3 linked regions of the Callithrix jacchus genome follow. The protein of the gene in region 1 interacts with the protein of each later gene in a pairwise test. Links are inferred from orthologs where the notes say so. Each region holds a gene or a part of one and is shown in the gene's direction. Other genes may lie near its edges.

The links.
Region 2: the proteins of MAGEA4 (region 1) and AMOT interact in binary tests that used the Homo sapiens proteins (3 or more experiments, as listed by UniProt). The two-hybrid records come from large-scale screens. The link is inferred for Callithrix jacchus from reciprocal best matches to the Homo sapiens genes MAGEA4 and AMOT.
Region 3: the proteins of MAGEA4 (region 1) and UQCRB interact in binary tests that used the Homo sapiens proteins (3 or more experiments, as listed by UniProt). The two-hybrid records come from large-scale screens. The link is inferred for Callithrix jacchus from reciprocal best matches to the Homo sapiens genes MAGEA4 and UQCRB.

What each region holds. Positions count from the first base shown.
Region 1 is NC_133524.1:148,211,117-148,216,939, forward strand, and holds the start of MAGEA4 (melanoma-associated antigen 4), read left to right. Parts: upstream 1-1,982; 5' UTR 1,983-3,029; coding exon 3,030-3,100; exon of another isoform or gene 3,101-4,716; intron 4,717-5,823. UniProt on the Homo sapiens protein: Regulates cell proliferation through the inhibition of cell cycle arrest at the G1 phase. Also negatively regulates p53-mediated apoptosis.
Region 2 is NC_133524.1:109,163,305-109,169,163, reverse strand, and holds the start of AMOT (angiomotin), read left to right. Parts: upstream 1-2,423; 5' UTR 2,424-2,804; intron 2,805-3,903; exon of another isoform or gene 3,904-4,032; intron 4,033-5,859.
Region 3 is NC_133517.1:31,004,338-31,010,196, forward strand, and holds the start of UQCRB (cytochrome b-c1 complex subunit 7), read left to right. Parts: upstream 1-2,423; 5' UTR 2,424-2,437; coding exon 2,438-2,456; intron 2,457-5,191; coding exon 5,192-5,263; intron 5,264-5,859. UniProt on the Homo sapiens protein: Component of the ubiquinol-cytochrome c oxidoreductase, a multisubunit transmembrane complex that is part of the mitochondrial electron transport chain which drives oxidative phosphorylation.

The sequences.
Region 1 (5,823 bases):
CTGAGGGAGGACTCAGGAGCTCCCCACGCGAGATAGATGACGCCAAATAATCCATTACAACTCTGCTGCCAGCTCTAGGCCACCCGTGGCTGGACTTCTGAGTGGGGGATGGGCACCACGGCCACTGTGGTTGAAGTCACAGGGGACTCGGGACTCAAAGGGCTTGGCGTGGTCAGTGCAAGACTGGTGGGGATAGGCTCTGCCATGAATTAACTGCAGGATCCCAGGAGAGGGCTCTGAGTCCCCCATTCCGTCCCCATTCCCCAACCCATTTTTATTCCCATCCACCCTCCCATCCCGCACCAGTACCCCCATTCTCTCCAGCCCCTACCAACGTCATAATCCCATTCCCCCACCCCCAACCACGCAGCATCCGGTTCCACCCAGGTGCCCGGATGTGACGCCACTGACTTTCGCGTGGGGGCGGGTTAGAGAGAAGCGCAGTTCTTGGTCCGACCAGCGGTTTGGGATTGACGGAGAGAGGCGGGCAACGCTCTGTTAGGAGGTAAGGTGAGACGTAGAGGGAGGACGCAGGAGGTCCCCTTCCCCGGTAGACGACTCCAAATAATCTCTTACCACTCCGGCTGCCAGCCCTCGGCCACCCGTGGGTGGACTGCTTAGTGGGGGAGGGGCACCACCCCTACTGCCGTTGAAGCCACAGGGGACTCGGGACTCAAAGAACTTGGCGTGGTCAATGCAAGACTGGTGGGGTAGGCTGTGCCAGGAATTAACGTGGGGATCCCAGGAGAGGGCTCTGAGTCCCCCATTCCCATCCCCTTTCTCCAACCCATTCTTATTCCCATCCACCCTCCCATCCCGCACCAATACCCCCATTCTCTCAAGCTCCTACCAACCTCATAAACCCATTCCGCCACCCCAATACCCCCACCCCCAACCACGCCGGATCCGGTTCCACCCAGTCACGCCCAGATGTGACGCCACTGACTTGCGCATGGGCGGCGGGTTAGAGAGAAGCGCGGTTCTTGGTCTGACCAGCAGCTCGGGATTGGGGGAGGCAAGCGGGCAAGGCACTGTTAGGAGGAATGCTGAGACGCTGAGGGAGGACTCAGGAGCTCCCCACGCGAGATAGATGACGCCAAATAATCCATTACAACTCTGCTGCCAGCTCTGGGCCACCCGTGGCTGGACTTCTGAGTGGGGGATGGGCACCACGGCCACTGTGGTTGGAGTCACAGGGGTCTCGGGACTCAAAGGGCTTGGCGTAGTCAGTGCAAGATTGGTGGGGATAGGCTCTGCCATGAATTAACTGCAGGATCCCAGGAGAGGGCTCTGAGTCCCCCATTCCGTCTCCATTCCCCAACCCATTTTTATTCCCATCCACCCTCCCATCCCGCACCAGTAACCCCATTCTCTCCAGCCCCTACCAACGTCATAATCCCATTCCCCCACCCGCAACCACGCAGCATCCGGTTCCACCCAGGTGCCCGGATGTGACGCCACTGACTTGCGCATGGAGGGTGGATTAGAGAGAAGCGTGGTTCTTGGTCCGACCAGCAGCTCGGGGTTGACGGAGAGAAGCGGGCAAGGCGCTGTTAGGAAGCAAGGCGAGACGCTGAGGGAGGACTCAGTAGCTCCCCACCTTAGATAGAGGACCCCAAATAATCCCTTACCACTCCTGCTGGCTGCCCTGGGCCACCCGTGGGTGGACTTCTGTGTGGGGGAGGGGACCAGTCAGAGTGCCGTTTAAGCCACAGGGGACTCGGGACTCAAAGGGTTTGGCGTGGTCAATGCAAGACTGGTGGGGGTAGGCTCGGCCAGGAATTAACTTCAGGATCTTAGGAGAGGGCTCCGAGTCCCCCATTCTGTCCCCATTCCCCAACCCATTCTTATTCCCATCCACCCTCCCATCCCGCACCAGTACCCCCATTCTCTCCAGCCCCTACTAACCTCATAATCCCATTTCTCCCACCCCCAACCACGCAGCATCCGGTTCCACCCAGGTGCCCGGATGTGACGCCACTGACTTGCGCATGGGGGGTGGATTAGAGAGAAGCGTGGTTCTTGGTCCGACCAGCAGCTCGGGGTTGACGGAGAGAAGCAGGTAAGGCTCTGTTAAGAAGCAAGGCGAGACGCTGAGGGAGGACTCAGTAGCTCCCCACCTTAGATAGAGGACCCCAAATAATCCCTTACCACTCCTGCTGGCTGCCCTGGGCCACCCGTGGGTGGACTTCTGCGTGGGGGAGGGGACCAGTCAGAGTGCCGTTTAAGCCACAGGGGACTCGGGACTCAAAGGGTTTGGCTTGGTCAATGCAAGACTGGTGGGGGTAGGCTCGGCCAGGAATTAACTTCAGGATCTTAGGAGAGGGCTCCGAGTCCCCCATTCTGTCCCCATTCCCCAACCCATTCTTATTCCCATCCACCCTCCCATCCCGCACCAGTACCCCCATTCTCTCCAGCCCCTACTAACCTCATAATCCCATTCCCCCACCCCCAACCACGCAGCATCCGGTTCCACCCAGGTGCCCGGATGTGACGCCACTGACTTGCGCATGGGGGGTGGATTAGAGAGAAGCGTGGTTCTTGGTCCGACCAGCAGCTCGGGGTTGACGGAGAGAAGCGGGTAAGGCTCTGTTAAGAAGCAAGGCGAGACGCTGAGGGAGGACTCAGTAGCTCCCCACCTTAGATAGAGGACCCCAAATAATCCCTTACCACTCCTGCTGGCTGCCCTGGGCCACCCGTGGGTGGACTTCTGCGTGGGGGAGGGGACCAGTCAGAGTGCCGTTTAAGCCACAGGGGACTCGGGACTCAAAGGGTTTGGCTTGGTCAATGCAAGACTGGTGGGGGTAGGCTCGGCCAGGAATTAACTTCAGGATCTTAGGAGAGGGCTCCGAGTCCCCCATTCTGTCCCCATTCCCCAACCCATTCTTATTCCCATCCACCCTCCCATCCCGCACCAGTACCCCCATTCTCTCCAGCCCCTACTAACCTCATAATCCCATTCCCCCACCCCCAACCACGCAGCATCCGGTTCCACCCAGGTGCCCGGATGTGACGCCACTGACTTGCGCATGGGGGGTGGATTAGAGAGAAGCGTGGTTCTTGGTCCGACCAGCAGCTCGGGGTTGACGGAGAGAAGCGGGTAAGGCTCTGTTAAGAAGCAAGGCGAGACGCTGAGGGAGGACTCAGTAGCTCCCCACCTTAGATAGAGGACCCCAAATAATCCCTTACCACTCCTGCTGGCTGCCCTGGGCCACCCGTGGGTGGACTTCTGCGTGGGGGAGGGGACCAGTCAGAGTGCCGTTTAAGCCACAGGGGACTCGGGACTCAAAGGGTTTGGCGTGGTCAATGCAAGACTGGTGGGGGTAGGCTCGGCCAGGAATTAACTTCAGGATCTTAGGAGAGGGCTCCGAGTCCCCCATTCTGTCCCCATTCCCCAACCCATTCTTATTCCCATCCACTCTCCCATCCCGCACCAGTACCCCCATTCTCTCCAGCCCCTACCAACGTCATAATCCCATTCCCCCACCCCCAACCACGCAGCATCCGGTTCCAGCCAGTCACACCCAGGTGCCCGGATGTGACGCCACTGACTTGCGCGTGGGGGGCGGGTTAGAGAGAAGCGCGGTTCTAGGTCAGACCAGCAGCTCGGGATTGACGGAGGGAAGCGGGCAAGGCTCTGTTAGGAGGTAAGTTGAGACGCTGAGGGAGGAAGCAGGAGGTCCCCTCCCCAGATAGAGGACCCCAAGTAATACATTAGCACTATTGCTGCCAGCTCTGGGCCACCGTGGGTGGACTTCTGAGTGGGGGAGGGGCACCACCCCCATTGAAGCCACAGGGGACTCGGGACTCAAAGAGCTTGGCATGGTAAATGCAAGACTGGTGGGGGTAGTCTTTGCCAGGAATCAACGTGGGGATCCGAGGAGAGAGCTCAGAGTCCCACATCCGTCCCCATCCCCCAACCCATTCTTATTCCTATCCACCTTCCCATCCCGCACCAGTACCCTTATCCTCTCCAGCCCCTACCAACCTCATAATCCCAATCCCCCACCCCCAACCACGCAGCATCCGGTTCCACCCAGTCACACCCAGGTGCCCGGATGTGACGTCACTGACTTGCGCGTGGGGGGCGGGTTAGAGAGAAGCGCGGTTCTTGGTCTCACCAGCAGCTTGGGATTGGGGGAGGGAAGCGGGCAAGGCTCTGTTAGGAGGCAAGGTGAGACGCTGAGGGAGGGACGCAAGAGGTTCCCGTTCCAGATAGACGACCCCAAATAATCCATTAGCACTCCCTCTGCCAGCTCTGGGCTACCTGTGGGTGGACTTCTGAGTGGGGAGGGGCACCAACCCCACTGCCGTTTAACCCACAGGGGACTCGGGAGTCAGTGTTTGGGTTGGTCAATGCAAGACCGGTGGGGGTAGGCTCTGCCAGGAATTAACGTGGGGATCCCAGGAGAGGGTTGAGCCTCCCCCATTTCCAACCGCATCCACAGCCCATTCTTATTCCCATCCACCCTCCCATTCCCCACCAGTACCCATATTCTCTTCAGCCCCTACCAACCTCATAATTCCAATTCCCCAACCCAACACAGACGCCCATCCACGCAGCATCCAGTTTCACCCCGTCACACCCAAGTGCCCGGATGTGATGCTACGGGCTTGCACACGGAGCGGGGGTGTTAGAGAGAAGCGCGGTTCTTGGTATGACCAGCAGCTTGAGATTGGCAGAGAGAAGCTGGCAAAGTTCTGTTAGGAGGCAAGGTGAGATGCTGAGGGAGGACTCAGGAGGTCCTTACCCCAGATTGATGACCCCAAATTGTCCCGTACGATTCCTGCTGCCACTCCTGGGCCACCCATGGGTGGACTTCTGTGTGGGGGAGGGGCACCACCCCCACTGCGGTTTAAGCCACAGGGAACTCGGGAGTCAGAGTTTGAGCTGGTGAGTGCAAGACTGGTGGGGGTAGGCTCTGCCAGGAATCAACGTGGGGATCCCAGGAGAGGGCTCAGAGTCCCACATCCGTCCCCATCTCCCAACCCATTCTTATTCCCATCCACCCTCCCATTTCCCACCATTACCCCTATTCTCTCCAGCCCCTACCAACCTCATAATCTCATACCCCCAGCCCCATCCACGCAGCGTTTGGTTTCACCCAGTCACTCCCAGGTGCCCGGATGTGATGCTACTGACTTGTGCATGGGGCGGGGGTGTTAGAGAGAAGCCCGGGTTCTTGGTAGGACCAGCAGTTTGGGATTGATGGAGCGAAGCGGGCAGGGCTGTTACGAGGCAAGGTGAGATGCTGAGGGAGGACTCAGGAGGTCCCCACCCCAGATAGATGACCCCAAATAATCCCTTACCACTCCTGCTGCCAGCCCTGGGCCACCAGTGGGTGGACTTCTGAGTAGGGGAGGGGCACCACCCCCACTGCCGTTTAAGCCACAAGGAACTTGGGAGTCAGAGTTTGGGGTGGTCAATGCAAGACTGGTGGGGGTAGGTTCTGCCAGGAATCAATGTCAGGATCGCAGCAGAGTGATGAGTGTCCCGCATTGCCATCCCTATGCCCCGCTAGCACCCCTACCCTTCCCATCTCACTACTATGGTCATACCCTCATTCTCTGCCCTCATCTCCCTCCCTGTGGAATCTGGTTCCATCCCTGCTTTCAACACAGGCAGGCCCTGGGTTCCCACATGTGATGCCACTGACCTATGCATTGGGGGTTAGAGGGAAGTGAGGTTCTGTGTCTGAGGGTTGGCTTGAGATAGGCGGAGTGAAGGGGGCCCCGGCTCAGTGAGGAGGCAAGATAAGACACTGAGGGAGGACTCAGGATGACTGCATCCCAGGTAGAGGGTCCCAACTGTTGACCACCCTT
Region 2 (5,859 bases), about 39 Mb from region 1:
ACCGTGCCCAGTCCAGTACTATTTTATTTGAATTTTTCCATTTCATGTTTAACTTTTTTCACTTGGACAGCATTGATTTTAACAAGTATGCTGTTGCCACTGTGATTAGTAGTAGTCCTGCAGCAAGTACTGCCCTCCCATCTAGTTCTCCTATCCACTCCAACAACAAGGCTGAAATAATCTTCCCTTGCTTCACAAACCAGGTATCTCCATATCTTTAACGTTCAAAAACTCACTTTCTCCATGAAAAATCACTCAAATGACCTCACTTCATACATAAACTGAATCATAACCAGAATCATTTTGTGCACACTCCTGCTTCTGAATATTTCCACAGAGCATGCTGGACACTCCATGATGTGCAATCGTCCCTACTTTTCCTGCACTCAGAGTTACAGTCTGAGCCCCAGTTTACTGTGTGATAGTGTTTCCTTTAAGCACACTTCCTCTTGCATGCCTTGATCCATGGCCTCTCAGATGGCTCCCATTAGGCAGGCTTGAATTGGATGTCACTCTCATGGGCATGAGCTCATTATATCAGCCTTGTGCTGTCAAGGCCTTTACAGTTAGGCTTGCTTCCTACTTGAAATATTTTCTAGGAAATATGGATCTGTAGAGAATGGTGGTTTCCATGGTAAATGTTCCTTCATATTTGTTTTCTCAAGTTCACTTTGCAGATACACAGCATGATTTCCTCTTTCAGTACCAGAACCACAATAGCTTTAAGTTGTCATGAAACCGTAGAACTTTAAAAAAGAAATCTCACCCACCCTGCTTAGAAAAGGGGTAATTTATTATTCTAACTGCAGGGAGTCAACTTCATATCCATCTCCAAAATTGTAGGAAAAGAGCTGATTTTTAAAAATAAAGCCACAAAACCTACACGACCTTGGATGTAAATGCTTAAAACAGATGAACAGAATATTAATTCTCTAACACATGTAAGACTCTCCACTATGTGTCATACACAAGTAGGAACACATACATGTTGGAGTGCTTTAGTTTTCACACACATTTCATTTTCACTCCAGTGCCATTAATTTAATGGCATGTCTTACAGCATTTATTTACAGGTAGAAAAATTAAGGCTGAGAAGTTAAGCCACCTAACATTAGTCATACAATTAGCTAGTAAGTGCCAGAGCCCCAAATGAATTCTTCTTTTGGTTCTCAATTCTATGTTATTTTGCTACCCCTACACTGTTTCTTTGTGCCTTCGTTTTCCCAGATGTAAAATGGTAGATTTTCCGTGTCCCAGTATACTGTTCTCAACCCTCTGTTTTTAACCAATATCAGTTTTTTTCTTCCACAGCCAGGAAATGTGAACGCCACACTGGCACTTCATGTACTTTTCCCCCTCCGGATTTAATGAATTAAGGGGAAAGAAAAGTTACCTATTCGTGGAGGGCTGGACAGTGCTATAAACATAAAGGCGTACCAGAGTCGGCCGACACACTGCTGCACTCTTTTATGAGACTGAGAAAGCGTCTCATCTTTCTCTTCCCAGCGGTAGCTGGGGTAGAACATAGAGCTACACAATAGCCTCTTGTTTAGTTTTATTAATTTTGAGGACTGGTGGGACAAAAGGATCAGACTGGCGACTCCCGGGCCCAATCGCAAACGTATACTAGGCCAGGCCCGGCCAACCAGTAGCGGCAAAAGAATGGTGGGCGGGACTTACGCTTCAGGGGCCCGCTCCGCCCAGGCCGCATCTAACAGCCCGCCCAGGGGCGGAGCCTCTGCAGAGCCCCGCCCACGACCCCCTCCTCCCTCGCCCCGCAGCTTCTGCAGCCCGCCATCGGGAGGCGGGGGAAACTCCCGGGGTGGGGGAGCGGAGGAAGAAAGGAGGGTGTCTCGCAGAGCTGTGACCTGGGTGGGGGCCTGCTAGTAATAGGAAGCGAGAGGGGAAGGAAAACGAAGGAGCACTGCTCCTTCCTTCATTATTTTAAGCAGGCTTTGGTGGAAGCTGCTTTTCAGCATTTCTATTATTTGCTTTTCTTCCTCCCGCTGTGGGGCGGAGAGCTGCACTGGCTCTCCCACGCGAGTATGCCGCGCTGTTGCCGTAGGTTATTATTGTAGTCTTTTGCAAAACCCTTTCCTTCTCCCCAGCCAGTCCCCGCGCAGACTCTCACGGCTACGGCAACCGAGTCGTGCCCCTCTAGTGGAAAGGCGAGAGCGAGGGTCCCCAACTTTCGCCCGAGCTCTCGGACCCCGCGGTTTAATTGTTTGAAACTTCCCCGCCCCCCGGCCCCGCCTCTCTTCCGCGCTCTCCTCGCTCCTCACTTCCAGGGTCCAGGCAAGCTCCCGCCCTTCTTTCCCCGCCCTCTACTCCGCCTTCCTCCCCAGTCCACCCGCCCTGCCGCTCCGGGGCGGTCCTAGCCGCTCACCGCAAGAAGAAAAGCCACCCGTTCGTCCCCCTCCCCTACCTCCCATCCTTTGCCCAGGAGCTGCCTTGGCAGTCACGCCCCTTCCTTCCGAGGAGCTTTCTGGCTGCCTAAACTGGTAGACCCCCTGAATTACTCCTCCGTCTCCGCTCTCTTTCGCCTCCTCTTCTCTTAGTTCTCTCCGCCTCCCCCTCCAACTACCACCACCTCCAGTCAATCTCGCCTCCGACCATCCGCTGCTCCACCCTCTGGCCCGGTATCCTGCCTGTCCACTGCCACCAAGGAGAGCCCGGACGGAGCAGCGAAGAGGGGAGCAGCCAGGAGTTGGGGCTTCCCCCCTGCCCATCCCTGGCCGCTGGCCCGGGACCGAAGCCACTTGAGCGAGCAGAGAGTCGTCACCTTGTCTTCGTTGCCTTCAGGGGTAGGAGACGTGTGGTTACTTTTTGCGGGGAACTGGGGCAGGAATCCATGGTGGCATGAACTTGGTCGTGCCCTCGGCGTGAGTGAATCGATCTAGGCGCGTGTGAGAATGCCCGTGTATTCTGCTGTCTTTGCAGCTGGCCATGAGTTTTTCAGGATGTGCAGCAAGTTAAATCGGTTAGAGTGTGCGCTGCTTTCCCGTCCTGCTTAAGTGAGGAGATGCTAGTGGGTACCACTACTAGATGGTATTTTTACTTCCTTGCCTCCTGGGGTTCTTCTGGGTCTCTAGGAAATTAATCACATTGAGGAGCTAAAGACCCGAGGGAAGCTGAAATCTACTTTTAGCCTAGCATGCAAGTCAGTGCTTATCTCAGATAACTAGATAGGTTTCTCCTAAGTGCTTAGGCTTGGGGTGTGGACTCACACTCCCTGAGGCGGGAGAAGGAGGGGTAGGACCGTGAATTCTTGAAGTTTTAAAGTCTGCGTAATCTAAAACATAAGGCTACTTTTTGAAATGTGTGGTGGTGGTGGTGCTTGTGGTGGTGGTGATAGTGGTCATGAGGAGGGAATTGCCCCTATCTACTTTAGAAGATCCAAAGATGTTAGTAAATAGTTTTGGGGGATCAGGCAGGTGTCTTGAGGGTCCAAGCCTGGGCCACTGTACGTTGGTGCTTCAACAGTAAGATGGACTTCGTGGATATGTGAAAATCAAGAGAAAGAAAAGTGGGAGTAAAAATACGCCTTTATAATAGACTATGAGCAGTTCCTGGTAAATTTCCACTAATAATAATATAATAATGTTCATAAAGTGACTAAATAAGATTAAATGAGCAAGGAAAGAGGAAGTTGGTGAGAAACAGCATTTTCAATCTCTAGCGTATGTTTTAGAAAGAATTTTTCAACAACCTAGGATGTTTAGTTCAGTTCTCCTCCCTCCGTGGAAGTTGGGAGGCAGTTTAAAACTTTTATGAATATAACCCTCTTCTCCCATTCAGAGAGGAAGATAATTAGTCACCATAATCTTCAATGATGAAGGGCTAAGGGTATTTAAGTCTCCTTGAGCTAGGCTTTGTGAAAAGTTCTTTCTCAGGCCAGCCTTTGTGAAGCCTTCTCAGACCTTTCAGCACCCTCATTTAGTAGCTAAGAATAGTTTGAAATGCCATTTTGGATGTGGGATACATTTTCATCCATCTCCCACCTATCTTCAATTGGACAAGTGCATCAAACTTGTAAGTCGTGGTGTTCAAAGACTTATTTCTGTGATGTCCTGAACTCATTGCTTATTTGGGAACACATTATTTACATACATTTAAAAATAGCTTTGGTTGATTTTAATGAGGGAAAGGAAGGTAGGAAGGTAGAGAAGGAACGTTACATGGCGACAGTTTTAAAGGCTATCCTGTTTCAGATCAGCTGGGAGGGAAAAGCTGGCCTAGCCAAACTACATTTTATAACTGGCCTGGGACACTTTAACAGCCAGGTGGTTGTAGAATAGTTGCATCTATTTACAGATGATAACTCAGGTTCCAGCTATTCTGTATGGGTTTATCCGGTGTCATCGACAGACACTTTCTGGCACGACATCATACTTCATTTTAAATTACTTCTTTCTTTGGAAAAGTTTGTGGCTTTGTAAAATTGAAAGTGTTTTTTTCTACCTTCATGGTGTAGATGTGAAGTAAACCTCGTTGTATGTGGAGTCACTTTTACATGAAATTTGTGGATCTGTTTAGCTATTTAAAAGATTTTAGAAAGGGAATTTTAATAATTAATAGTCAATTCAATTTTGGATTTAGAAATTAAAATCTCATTTCCAGTTTATGAAGTTGGATTTATTAGACTAATTCCCAACTAGGACATTTGTAGAGTTGCTTTCTCTGAGGTTTTGTAAAGACCACATCAGACTCTAGAATGCTTTAAGAATAGCCTAATCAGAAGGCAGGGGGATGGATACTATGACCTTGAGGTCCCATTGAGTGCCAGAATTCTAAGTGGGTACATCTGCTTCTGTGCCTCTCCTAAGAGCCCTCTCCCAGGGCCTGCGCCTTCTTTAAAAGGGTGTCTTTGTAATTAAGCAGCCCTTCTTCCCCATCCCCCTTTCTTCCTTTGATCCAGCTTTTTAAGGCCTTTTTTCCATTTGGAGACAAGAGGAGTTTCTCACACTTTCCTGTTCCCCTCTTAACGTTTCTTGTCCTTTACCTCAGAAAAGTCCCCTGAGGTTCTCAAGATGGTTAGAAGTTTTGTTTTGTTTGGGGCGTGGGGGTGGAGTGGGGGAGTTGTTACCAGTGAGGAGGAATAGAGGATATATTCCCGCTTGGGAAATGCTTGCGACCAGGTAGCCTCCTCCATGGAGACTGAGCATTTGGAATGCATGAGAACAGTCTATTCTTGGGGACTGTCTGGTAGAAATTGTCCTTTGCACCCATTAAGCCCAGCTTAAACACATTGAAAGGGGTGGGGAGAGGTGTGTGTGGTCGTAGTGGAGCCTTTTAGGATGGTAAATGGGTAAATGTTTCCAAATCTCCTATTACATCATCTCTTTCTCCCATGGATTCAGTAGGTTTAGTGATCTGCTTGACAAGTTAATTAGCTGGGGACTAAACCAATTTGTTTAGAATTGTGATCCATTGATTTCCTGTCCCCAGGAATTTTTGTTGGTGTTTTACTATGATGTGTTGTCTTTAGTCTTACTTACTTTTCCCTCCTTGCTGCCTTTTGTGGACTTTGGTCCAAAATCTAGGGTTCCACCCCCAAGTCAAAGGTTAGAATTTTGTCCCGGGAACTAAGGGGGTATTAAACAGGCTGGCCATACTGCATTACTCTCCTCCATGGTGGGCTTCTGACCCCTTTTAACCCAGAGAAAGGAGGGAAGTCGCCCCTTCCACACACAACACACACAATCTGAACAAAAAAGAAAAAGAAAAAGAAAGAAAGAAAATAGGAGGTCATTTGCTTTATAAAAGAATCCACAACAGGTTTCTTTGTAAGTACTAGCTTTCCTAGTTAGTGCCTTTAAACTGTGACTTGATATATAAAAATTCACTCTAACTGGGCCT
Region 3 (5,859 bases), on another chromosome or scaffold:
TCTGCTCCACATCGTGTTTAATGATAGAGGTTGATGTATCCTGTCTCTGTCGTTTCTGGAGTGTTGCCAGTCTATGGAAAACAAAAGGAATGTGAAGAATTGCTCTTAAAAAGTTACCACATTTTTCTTGGCCAAAGTATCACATGGCCATGCCTAACTTGAAGAGGGCAGAGAAAGGCAATCTCTAATCCCGTGCTAGGAGGAAAGAAAACCAAAACTAGTTTTTGAATCAACATTAATGACTACCACCAAACAGTCTCTCTAAGAGACACTGAATTCCTTAGGAGCTGGATTTTGTAACAATTTGGGTTTTTTTATCTTTTGATATGTCTTCTCTTGCCACCTTCACCTGTAACCAACAAGCTAAAACTTAAAGGGTAAGGAGGAAGAAACAAGTTTATTGAGCTCCTATCCTCTGCAGGGCAGTTTGCCAATGTACAAATGTATTTCTTCACATCTTTCGGACTTCACTTTGGCTAGTGTAGGATAGAAGAGGTCATTCATCAGTTTTAGTGCTGCATACAGAACTGACTAATAGAAGAAACTGTGGCAGCATGAAGACAGAAGAAAAAGGGGAAAATCAATAGAATTTTAGAGCTGGAATGTGACCAAGGCCATTAAATCTAAGCTTTTGAACTTACAAGATTCTATTCTATATGGTCCCAACTCCGAGCTTAAAACTGAGGGGAAAAAAAGATATCACTGAGTAATGGTAGAAGTGCACTAGTAACTATAAGTCATCCTAGCTCCACCGAATTGTTTTTTGTCCCTAGATGTTTATGCCTAAGACTTTGCATGTTGGGGCTGAGATCTTAAAAGTCAGCAAATACTTCCATTTTGTCTTAAAATTGTGTGCAAATTCTGCAATACATCTTAGATTTAATCTTCAAAAAATCTCTTCTGCTGGTCATGGTGGCTCATGCCTGTAATCCAGCATTTTGGGAGGACAAGGTGGGTGGATCACTTGAGGTCAAGAGTTTGATACTCAGTTTGTTCAGCCTGGTCAACACGGTGAAACGCCATCTCTGCTAAAAATACAAGAATTAGTAGGCATGGTGGCATGTGCACCTGTAGTCCCAGCTGCTCAGGAGGCTGAGGCACAAATAGTTTGAACTCAGGAGACAGAGATTGCAGTGAGCCGAGATTGTGCCATTCAGCCTGACTGACAGAGGCTGAATAACAACAAAAAAAGAGGTGACAAAAACAAACTTCTTTGACCTAACCTTCCGCTAATATAGCTAGATGTAGATCTTCAGCTGGAGAAACCCAAGGCCTGAGAAGCTCGGTGTCTCTCCTGGATTAGTAGTGTAACATATGGCCCTAGAATTAAGTAGCCCCCAAATTTGTGTCTGGATTCTCAGACTCTGGAAGGAGAACCTGGACTCTTCTAGCTGTGTGCTCTTGGACAAGTTACTCAACCTTTCTGAGCCTCAGCTTTCTCCTCTCTACAATGAGATAATTACAGTACTTTCAGAATTAAGTGATAGTGTAGGATGTGAGAGATCACCTCCAACCCTCTTTCCCCTCTTCTCTTATGTGAGCTCTTTGGTTGGATCTAGGAACCAAATTGACACAAGGTAGATTAACAAGAGAAAAGCCTCCAAATTAGTTTTACATGTACACGGAGATCTTCACAAGAGAGTGAAATGGCCAATGCAAGATGCCTTTATACTTTTTAGAAGAGTATACTTTATATGGCAAATCTGAGAAGAAAGGGGATGTGGCTAGGGGCAGTAAATTTCTTGTGGAGTCATTAGGAGAAACGTGTGTGTGGTGGGGTGTCAACTCAGTGGAAGACAAGGGTTACTTCGGAAAGTATATTCAGGTCCAAAGCAGCCCCCAGTTTCCAGTCTCCGGTGATGGGTGATATTTTCTCCCCCTGGTAAGGGACGAGTACTCCAAAGGAGTACTGGAGGAAGCTTTATGGCTTGCTGCATGCAGGAAGAGATGGGTCATCAAACACTTAGTGAAACTACAATTTCTCCAACATTTTCAACTCGAAATAATCAATGTACCAATTCCATATATTTTGGATGGCACATTCATCAGTCCTTCAATAGAAAACTAAATAAGATGATGCCCTTGCTTCCTGCCTGGCACAAAGAGCTCAATTAATACCGCCCACGCTCTCATAGCTATGGACATTAAGTAACAGAACCTAGCCTTAAGCCTCGGTCTCCTAATTCCTGTCCTAGTGTTCTTCCCAACATACCGCAACCAATGCTTCTTAGAACAGAGCACGCCAAATGCCCCGCCCACTCTATTGGCCTCACCCTGGCGGAGATGTACGCCCGCAGGTGCTCACCGACAGCCGTCAGAACTGCGCCTGTGCGAGCGGCCTTCATCGATTCGCGACGCGACGTAACGCGCCTGCGCACTGCGCCCAGCCTGTCCTCTTTGACTTACCCAGAAGGCGACGCTTCGCTTTCTGGTCATAATGGCTGGCCGGCCGGCTGGTAAGTGATTGGCGGGGGGTGGGAGGGGGTCTTCCTTGGCGGGCATAGTCGCGCTACACCTTTTATTTTCGCAGCAGTTCGCTCCGTTTTCTCTCTTCTTTGTAAATGGCCAGGTTTGTCGCGGAAGGGAAAGTGGTGGCTTCAGTTCAGCCGAAAGTACTTGCCTCCCCATTCGTTTGCTGTCCCCAGGCCGGGCTTGCCTGTAGAGTTGGGATATTAACCCGCTGTTTGTGGAGGTGCCCGCGGTGGCTCTGACAGCCCTGGAGTTCCAGCTGCAGGTGTTCGGCATTCCTTCCCGTCGGCCTTAGAAAAGTTCAAGGGCACAAGGGGGTAACTAGTCGATGACTTTGAACCAGAATGAGCTCAGTGCTTTCTGTGACCTAATCGCTCTGTCGTGTGCATTGGCTGAATAAATTCTCCTGCCAGTGCGATGAGGGAGATATTAATTTCCTTTCTACGCTGATGAGATAACTGAGGCAACATAACCCAAGGAAGTAGAATTAGAAACTTCATTGCACCCCTCGCGCTTCTCAAATTGCGAATTAGAGGCTGTTGAGCAGGGGATACAAGCAACGCTTCAGGTTAACCTTGGATTATCTGGAACGTCAGCTTAATCAGTAGATTTGGAGAAATTTACTTATTGGAGGTTCAAATGCATTTATTGTGGAATAGAATGCAGATATTACTGGAATACTTAAAACAAAGTGAACCTTAAGTTGGGTTTTCCCTGGGTTTTTTGTTTTTGTTTTTGTTTTTGCTAATCTCTGCCCACTGGCGGTACAAATTAGAGCAGTTTTTAAAAAAATACTGATCTTTTCCTCCCCTTCTCCAGCACCTGTGAAGCTGTTAGGAAACAGCAAGTTGCCAGAAAAATCCGTTAACCTAATTGGCGTTGAGCTTTTTAGGGATGGGGGGAGACTTTTTAGTAATTATTTTATGAATTTGGCAGCTATTGTGGGAGTCTTACTAAATTCAAAACACTGCTTCTGTGCTGTGTTTGGGAACCATATAGACCAGATCTCAACTCCCATTAGCTAACTCTTCTGACCTTTGGTGGGATCACTTCTGTAAGCCTCCTTCCCCTTCTGTAATAACAGACATGTAAATAAATCAGCTAATGTTGGTAAAGCAAATAGGAAAGTGCTTGGCACACAGTAAGTGCTTAGTGAATATTAATTATTATCATAGTCACTGGTAGATGTTTAAAAATAATCTGTCTTCCAGCCAGGCGTGGTAGCTCACACCTGTAATCCCAGCACTTTGGGAGATCGAGGCAGGTGGATCACGAGGTCAGGAGTTCGAGACCAGCCTGGCCAGTCTGGTGAAACCCCATCTCTACTGAAAATACAAAAATTAGTTAGGCGTGGTGCGGGCACCGATAGTCTCAGCTACTCAGGAGGCTGAGGCTAGAGAATCGCTTGAACCTGGGAGGCGGAGCTTGAGTCAAGATCACTCCACTGCACTCCAGCCTGGGTGACAGAGTGAAACTCCATCTCAAAATAATAACAATAATAATAATCTGTCTTCCACAAGTATGTCTGTAGATTGTTGACTCATACTTACTTTTCTAGCAGCAGTTTTATACATGACTCTTAATTTCCAAGGAGATTTACTGAAGCCATGTAATCCGTAGTGCACTGAGTGTGCAGGCAAGGACAGTTGAGTGAGAGTTTGCTTTCCTTTTTGGTAAGGGGCTAGCCCTAGACAAAATTTTAAAAGAAAATTATACTTGTTCTACCTCCCCCTTTCTTTTTTTTTTTTTCTTTTTTTTTTAAATTTTTTATTGGATTATAGGTTTTGGGGTACATGAGCAGAGCATGCAAGACAGTTGCGTAGGTACACACATGGCAGTGTGCTTTCTTTTCTTCTCCCCTTCACCCACATTTGGCATTTCTCCCCAGCTACCTCCCCCTTTCTAAAATGTCTCTCCTAAAATGTCAGGTACTGTCATGCTGTCCTTGGACCCTGCTGGGTTACTTCATCAGGCTCATCCCTGCTCCCCAAAGAGATTTAAAATTATTTATTTCTCCTCATCCGTTTTCAGTATCCATTCCCTTGGGGAGAACTTAGCTGCTTAAGAGGAGGAAGATGGACTTCTTTTACTAATCCACATTAATGTTTAAATGACTAATGGTATCAAAATTCTCCCCAAAATACATAAATGTTTAGAGAGTGTGGCCAAGTGAAATAACTAATGTTGAGTAAAAATTTTAGAGGATGGGGGTCATTTAGGCCTGCCAGCCTCTGCTGAAATCTCAGTCTCTTTTCATACAACTCCAACTCCTTTGAAATGGAAAGCTTTACAATTATTTCCGGTGATCTATTTATGAAACTACAAATAATAGAAACATCCAAGTCCTATTCCTATCTCCCACCCCTTCAATTTTGAAGGTAATGGGGCTATAAGAGGGCACGTGATGTACCTGTAGATCTTTTGTACATTCAGTGTTTGAGTTTAACCTTTTCTTCCATGACTTGCCACCTAATTTTTTTTCCTGCAGCCACTTTTGTTCATAAGTAAAATAAGCATTTTTTTTATCAGCAGTGTATAGAGTGTAAACTTTTTTCTTTTAAATCAAATTCTTTTTTAATTAAATTCTTCCTATATAGAGTATATACATTTAAAAGGAAATTTCTATGTTTGTATTAGCAAGATAACTATGAGTACTGGTTGCTTCCCTATCAAAGTGTTCATATAGTTTAATTCTGGCAACTAACAGTGTGACAATGATCAGTTTCAGCATCAAGCAGGTTGCTGGAGATTATGCGAAAATGGTATTACAATGCTGCAGGATTCAATAAACTGGGTAAGCAGCTGTACTTTCTTTTCTGTTTTCTTTTTTTTCTTTTTCTGAGAGCATTGCTTTTACAAGTGTTACTGTGGTTCCAAAAAAATATTTCAGTTCTTATATATATCAGAAGATTTTAAAATTAAATCACATTGTATTATGTTAAATCCAGTTCCTGTTAAAAATTTTTTTGAGAGGAGAGGGATGAAAGCCTCTAAAATGTTTGACTTGTTAATGATTTAAGTAAGCAGCAAGACATTTTCCTTATAAACCTCCCCTCCCAACTCTTCCACTTAAAATTTTAAGTTATATAAACATTGAAAGTAGAGATTTTTCGAATTTTAAAATTTTCTCACATCCATGCAATCATATGATTCCTAAACTTTTATTAGAACTTTATAATTTGCCATGAACTTCATCTTTTATTATTGAAGCCTCTGGAAAGTGTAAGCAAAAGTTGCAGGTTCCTTAGTATACTATCATTTTAAGATTCTTTAATACCTTGAGCTCAGATTTAAACTGTAAGAAGTAGAGATGTGGTTTATTAATGTGTGTTTAAGAGCAAAGTAAACGTTTAAAATATTTTTTAAATGGTTTAGATAAAATGTGAATTT